2 linked regions of the Kluyveromyces lactis genome follow. The protein of the gene in region 1 interacts with the protein of each later gene in a pairwise test. Links are inferred from orthologs where the notes say so. Each region holds a gene or a part of one and is shown in the gene's direction. Other genes may lie near its edges.

The links.
Region 2: the proteins of SSL2 (region 1) and INO1 interact in a protein complementation assay, tested with the Saccharomyces cerevisiae proteins (2 studies listed by BioGRID). The link is inferred for Kluyveromyces lactis from reciprocal best matches to the Saccharomyces cerevisiae genes SSL2 and INO1.

The regions. Positions count from the first base shown.
Region 1 is NC_006041.1:1,154,021-1,158,095, reverse strand, and holds SSL2 (TFIIH/NER complex ATPase/helicase subunit SSL2), read left to right. Parts: upstream 1-1,275; coding exon 1,276-3,852; downstream 3,853-4,075. Other genes in the region: SRP40 (Srp40p), read right to left, coding at 1-750. UniProt on the Saccharomyces cerevisiae protein: ATP-dependent DNA translocase. Component of the general transcription and DNA repair factor IIH (TFIIH) core complex. When complexed to CDK-activating kinase (CAK), involved in RNA transcription by RNA polymerase II.
Region 2 is NC_006040.1:1,381,563-1,385,049, reverse strand, and holds INO1 (inositol-3-phosphate synthase INO1), read left to right. Parts: upstream 1-1,397; coding exon 1,398-2,987; downstream 2,988-3,487. Other genes in the region: low-affinity Zn(2+) transporter ZRT2, read left to right, coding at 1-224; snoRNA-binding rRNA-processing protein DIP2, read right to left, coding at 3,356-3,487. UniProt on the Saccharomyces cerevisiae protein: Key enzyme in myo-inositol biosynthesis pathway that catalyzes the conversion of glucose 6-phosphate to 1-myo-inositol 1-phosphate in a NAD-dependent manner. Rate-limiting enzyme in the synthesis of all inositol-containing compounds.

The DNA.
Region 1 (4,075 bases):
GGTTTCTACTGCAGTTTCGCTATCGCTGCTATCGGAGTCGCTAGATGAGGAGGACGAATCTGAGGACGAATCTGAGTCTGAGTCTGAGTCTGAGTCTGAGTCTGAGTCTGAGTCTGAACTAGAGTCCGAACTAGAGTCCGAGCTGGAGCTAGAGCTAGAGTCTGAATCTGAATCTGAACTAGAGCTAGAGCTAGAGTTTGAATCGGAGTCTGAGTCAGAGCTTGAATCGGAGCTAGAGTCTGAATCGGAGCTAGAATCAGAACTAGATTCCGAGTCCGAGTTTGACGATTTCGACACCTTTACTTCCACTGCTACTGGCTCAGATTTTTCATCTTTTATCTTAATTTTGATGTCTTTTTCGTCCTCATCATCGGATTCTGAGCTGGCACTGGAGCTAGAGTCTGAGTCGGAATCAGAGTCTGAGCTGGAACTAGAGTCTGAGCTGGAACTAGAATCTGAGTCTGAACTGGAGTCTGAGTCTGAACTGGAACTGGAACTGGAACTGGAACTGGAACTGGAGCTACTATCAGAGTTCGATTCTGAATCTGAGCTAGAGCTTGAACTAGAGTCTGAGCCAGAATCCGAATCCGAATCTGAACCTGAACCTGAACCTGAACCTGAACCTGAACTCGAGCTGTCGCTGGAATTGGAACTAGACTCTGAACCACTTGACGATGATTTTACCTTTTTGTCATCTTTCTTCGTCAATTTTGGCACTGAAGACTTGGAACTTTGCTTCTTAACACTCATCTGTAAAAATTAGACTATTTCCTCACCCAAACCACTGGTGATCCTATCGTAATCGCTCTTGGATAAGATCTGAACCTACCTCATCGCAAGCTCATCTCGTTTGGATAACGCTATTAATCTCGAATTTTTTTTCAATACGTTTCTTTTGCCGTACTATGTGACGATGTCCTGAGGTGTGGTGTATGGGTTGTTTCAGTCTTACAACTACTAAAACTGTAAAAACAACTAGCAAAACCGGCCTTTTCGTCTATTCGGCAACCTCGTTGTTGTATTGTTAATCGTGGAACTACCTAGTGGTTGCAATGGTTATTAGTTGGTCATCCAACTCTAACTTATATTGGGTTTTTGGCTCATTCTGGTTATATTGTTTGTCCGGGTAATCATTTTTGCCTCAACATTATTAATCTGAAAGATGATTTTAAGAGAACTTTAACTTTAATTAGATGTTTAAGAATCAAAGTCCAAGGACGGACAAGGGAATTAAGGTCTATCCCCGGAGTCTATCTGTACACTAATTGTGTCATTATGGAAGATGAGGTAGTGAAGCGTTCATATCACACAAGAAGTAGAGGTGGAAAGGAGAAATTAGTGCAGGACACGGTTTTTTCAGATGACTCTTTGGTTACAGACGATGAAGAATACGGGGATATTGCCCCAGATATCGACGATGATGTCTTAGATGAAGAAGAGGAAGCTGAGTTAAAGGAATCTCTAATGCAGGCGAACGCTCCTGCTCCTCAAGTGAATCCTCTTTTGAGTCGGAAATCGAAGAAAAGTTCTTCTTCTTCTAGATCTGCTGCTGCTGCAACTGCTGGTAGTGGAATGAACCATAATCTAGCAGCAAAGGATGATATCCTTCATGCACATTTGGACGATATTCCCCCTGATTTTGAGCCTGACGTTGTTTCAGGAATGTTCAAGACTAACGATTTCAGCTACTTAAAATTGAAGCCGGATCATGCCTCGCGGCCTTTATGGATATCGCCTAACGATGGACGTGTGATCTTAGAATCATTCTCTCCATTGGCAGAACAAGCACAGGATTTTCTTGTGACGATCGCAGAACCCGTTTCTAGACCATCTCATATTCATGAGTACAGAATTACGGCTTACTCTTTGTATGCTGCGGTTTCGGTTGGTTTGGAAACTGAAGATATCATAGCAGTATTGGACAGATTGTCCAAGGTTCCTGTTGCACCTTCGATTATCAACTTCATTAAGAGTGCAACTGTATCATACGGTAAGGTGAAATTGGTCATTAAGCATAATAGATATTTCGTGGAAACTTCTCAAGCTGATATCTTGCAAATGTTGTTAAACGATCAAATCATTGGTAATCTAAGAATCGATACCGATGCTGCAGTGGATGCTGCGGTTAAGAAAACCATGGCGAATAAGATGGTAGATGCAGAGGGAGTGGATCCTAACGATGTGGAAGCTGTCTTTTCAGCTGTCGTGGGGGCCAATAAGGAACTTGAAGAAGAAGACGATGATATAGATGCGGTTCATGCTTTCGAAATTGACAATGCATCTGTCGAAATTGTGAAGAAAAGATGTCAAGAACTTGACTATCCGGTGTTGGAAGAATATGATTTCAGGAACGATCGAAGAAATCCAGATTTAGATATCGATTTGAAACCATCAACTCAAATCAGACCATATCAGGAAAAATCCTTGAGCAAAATGTTCGGTAACGGTCGTGCAAGAAGTGGTATTATTGTGTTACCATGCGGTGCTGGTAAGACTTTGGTCGGTATCACAGCGGCATGTACTATCAAAAAGTCTGTGATCGTGCTTTGTACTTCGTCAGTGTCAGTCATGCAATGGAGACAACAATTCCTTCAGTGGTGTACGCTCCAGCCTGAAAATGTTGCCGTCTTCACATCAGATAACAAAGAAATGTTCCAAACTGAATCTGGTCTGGTGGTCTCGACTTATTCCATGGTTGCTAACACTAGAAATAGATCGTACGATTCTCAAAAGGTTATGGATTTCTTAACGGGTAGAGAATGGGGTTTCATTATTTTGGATGAAGTACATGTCGTACCTGCAGCCATGTTTAGACGTGTTGTGTCCACTATTGCCGCACATGCAAAATTAGGTTTAACTGCAACTTTGGTGCGTGAAGATGACAAGATTAGTGATTTGAATTTCTTGATTGGTCCAAAACTTTACGAAGCTAATTGGATGGAACTTTCACAGAAAGGTCACATTGCTAATGTGCAGTGTGCGGAAGTTTGGTGTCCAATGACTGCAGAGTTTTACCAAGAATATCTAAGAGAGAATGCGAGAAAAAGAATGCTACTATATATTATGAATCCAACCAAGTTCCAGGCGTGTCAATTTTTGATTCAATATCATGAAAAGAGAGGTGATAAAATTATCGTCTTTTCAGATAACGTCTACGCTCTTCAAGAATATGCTTTGAAGCTAGGTAAGCCTTTCATTTACGGTTCCACGCCACAACAAGAGCGTATGAATATTTTGCAGAATTTTCAATATAATGACCAAATCAATACCATTTTCTTATCAAAGGTTGGAGATACTTCGATTGATTTGCCAGAGGCGACTTGTTTGATCCAAATTTCGTCTCATTACGGGTCTAGACGTCAAGAAGCACAAAGATTGGGTAGAATTTTAAGAGCTAAGAGACGTAACGATGAAGGGTTCAACGCCTTCTTCTATTCTCTAGTTTCTAAAGATACTCAAGAAATGTACTACTCCACAAAGAGACAGGCATTTTTAGTTGATCAAGGTTATGCTTTCAAGGTTATCACCCATCTACATGGTATGGAAAACTTGCCTAATCTAGCATATTCTTCTGCTAGAGAACGTAGAGAACTTTTGCAAGAAGTTCTTCTCAAAAACGAAGAAGCTGCAGGCATTGAAGCAGGTGAGGATAACGATAGCTACATTTGGAAGAATGGTGGGAACAAGAGACCAAGGAACAAATCTAAGGCTGTTAAGAGCGAAGGATCTTTGGCTGGTTTGGCTGGTGGTGAGGATATGGCATACCTAGAATACAGTTCCAATAAGAATAAAGACTTAAGAGATCATCATCCATTGATCCGTAAAATGTACTATAGAAGTGCAAATAAATGAACAATATTGGGTTTTATAATTTATCATCCGTATTAAACTGGCATACTTTAAACAGCAAATGAATCATCTTTCCAAAAATCGCATCACGAATCAGTTTTATAAAATCCTAATACTTAAATATACCACATATAATCACTATAAAAAGATGTTTTCGTCCGCTGTCTAAAATAAACAAAGAAATGATTGCTTTTGCACAGTGAATTTCAACAGTATTGATATTGTA
Region 2 (3,487 bases), on another chromosome or scaffold:
ACTCTTACGCTCCAGGTTCCAGAACTGCTTTGATTGCTAACGGTTGTTTCGATGCTATCTCTGCTGGTATCTTGATCTACACTGGTTTGGTTGAACTAATGGCCCATGAATTTTTATATTCTGACAACTTCAAGGGTGAGAACGGCTTGAAGAAGATGTTGTGGGCCTTCTTCACTATGTGTTGGGGTGCTGGTTTGATGGCCTTGCTAGGTAAATGGGCTTAAACTAACTTAATCGCAGCATCTGTCATAATATGTATCCATCAAGGATAGGAACAATCAAACTAGTCAAAAATCAACAAATATATTGTATTAATTTATTATCATGTATAGTATCATGATACTCAAACCCCCTTTTATCGTTTCTTACCACACTACTACTACTACTATCATTATAAACTTGTTTAGAAGGTGTTTTTAATCTCTAATATTTTCTAGTCTTATTTTACTTCTCATATCTTTCCTTCAACCCATACTCTTAGCAGATGGGGGTCTTACCTCAATTAGGAAGGATGAGGTCTCTGGGGAGATGTCAATATCACATATACAGGTATCTGAAAGTACATTATGTCAGGGTTCTGAGGTCCATTGATCTCTAAGACATAGAATGAACCAAATTAAGATAGACGACTATTTGGGGTCACGTGAATGTTTACTTTCCATTCACGTGACTCGAAAACCTACCTGTTTCACAAGCGATCTGGCCGTGTTTGCTTCCGCAGAATCGTTATATTTTTTTGCGTCACTGGTTTAGTATGGAGAGTAACTGATGAAACAGTTTTTATTATTCTTATTCCATACCCGATATCAATATCGAATGTCATAGAAGTGAATAGGTAATCGTTTATCCCTCTTTTGACTTCTTAAACCCGGTCAATTGGGTCTCTTTTACCTTTTCACATGGGAAATGAAAGCCCTGGCCCAGCAAGTTATAGAGAATAGGATCGTTTCATGCCATTATTTCGTGGCAGAAACCCCACATAACTCGTGGCAGTTCAGCGGAAATGCGTATCAAAATATGAAATTTTGTGGTTTGTGGCTGTTTTTCTAGGCTTCGCTAATTTCGGCGAACTTGCCGACCAATGACATAGTGAAACAGGTTTTTGTTTTTTAGTATGGGTTTCTTTAGAAATATACGTAGTGTCAGCTAGATAGGACGAAAATTTCGGCGAAAATTTCGGCGAACCTGCAAGACGGGTATATAAAGGGGCTATTTGAACTTATATCTTGTCTTCCTTCTCCAGTTACCACTTTGCTGAATCTCAACTCGGTTCTGCTATCTTCTCTCATATTTGTCCTTTTTTTTATTCTTTCATAGCCTATCTCATCAAGCAATTGCAAAGGATCTTCTCCCCTAGACCCCGCAATTAATTAACTAATCATTAAAAACAATTGAACATGACTGCACCAACCGTTTTCAAACCAACCGTCAAGGTTGCTACTGATGTTGCTGAGTTTAGTGAAACTGAATTGACAACTAAGTATACTTATCGTAATGCTATTGTTGAAAAAAGTGCAGATGGTGTTTTCAACGTTGAACCGGTGACTCAAGATTATGAATTCAAGGTTGATTTAAAGTTGCCAAAAGTTGGTGTCATGTTAGTTGGTCTTGGTGGTAACAACGGTACCACATTCTTGGCTTCAATCTTGGCTAATAAGCACAAGGTTAAGTTCCAAACCAAGGAAGGTTTGAAGGAAGCTAATTACTATGGTTCTGTGACACAATCTTCTACTTTGAAACTTGGTGTTGACGCTGAGGGAAATGACGTTTATGCTCCGTTCAATAGTTTAGTTCCAATGGTATCTCCAAATGACTTCTATGTTTCTGGTTGGGATATTAATGGTGCTGACCTTGGAACAGCAATGGCAAGAGCTGAAGTTCTTGGTGTCGATTTGCAAAATAAATTGCGTCAAGAAATGTCCGCTCACAAACCTTTACCTTCTATCTACTATCCAGATTTTATCGCTGCTAACCAAGATGAACGTGCAGACAACTGTTTCAATAGGGATGGTAAGGCTGGACCTGTGTCTGTAAAGGACAAATGGAGTCACGTTGAACACATCCGTAACGACATTCGTCAATTCAAGGAAAATAATGGTTTGGACAAAGTCTTGGTGTTATGGACAGCTAACACTGAACGTTATGCTGACATCGTGACTGGTGTTAACGATACTGCTGAAAACTTGATCAATGCTATCAGGAGTGATCATGCAGAAATTGCTCCATCCACTGTCTTTGCTGTCGCATCTATCTTGGAAAACGTTCCATACATCAATGGTTCCCCACAGAACACTTTCGTCCCAGGTGTCATTGATTTAGCTGAAAAGGAAGGCGCTTTCATCGCTGGTGATGATTTCAAGAGTGGTCAAACCAAGATGAAGTCTGTCTTGGCCCAATTCTTGGTTGATGCTGGTATCAGACCAGTTTCTATCGCTTCCTACAACCATTTGGGTAACAACGATGGTTACAATTTGAGTTCTCCACAACAATTCAAATCTAAAGAAATCTCCAAGGCGAGTGTGGTCGATGATATCATTGAATCCAACCAAATTCTCTACAATGACAAACTGGGTAACAAGATCGACCACTGTATCGTTATCAAATATATGCCAGCGGTCGGTGACTCTAAGGTTGCCATGGATGAATATTACAGTGAATTGATGCTTGGTGGTCATAACAGAATCTCCATCCACAACGTCTGTGAGGATTCTTTGTTGGCTACTCCATTGATCATTGACTTGTTAGTCATGGCTGAATTCTGTTCCAGAATCAAGTACAAGAAGATTAATGACCTTTCAGGAGGTTACCACAGTTTCTACCCTGTCTTGACTATGTTGAGTTACTGGTTGAAGGCACCATTGACTAGACCAGGTTTCAAGGCTATTAATGGCTTGAATAAACAACGTGCTGCTTTGGAAAACTTCTTGAGATTGTTAATCGGTTTGCCAGCATTGGACGAGTTGAGATTCGAAGAAAGATTGGTTTAAAAGAATGCTAATGCTGCATGCTATTTAAAGATAGAATAGAAAGAAAAGAAGTAGTTTTTACATATATGAACCCCAACCAGATACGTATCTAGTCAACGAATAAATATATTCCTTTCCACGATATTTCCATGATATTTCTTATAACCCTATTCTGGATTACATGCTAGTCATTCCTTAAAGTGTCAGTTTTTTTTAACTTCACAAACTAAATGTTAACATCTGTGCTCAAATGAAAAACAATAACAAAAGACCAAAAACTGTAGATGAAAATCGATGTCGATGAATTATCTATAACTTGATATTTACATACCTTGAGACAGGTTATATATTTAATAAGATGCATACGGTTTTAATTTATGGACGTAAATCTAGCGAACAGTTTCGAAAACTCTCTTCTTTGCAACCTTTTTCTCATGCTCTAACTGCGAATAGTCATCAGTGAACTCCAAGTTATGTCTTAAGTTCCATTGCTGTTTGATGAAGTTAAGACCGGCGATGTT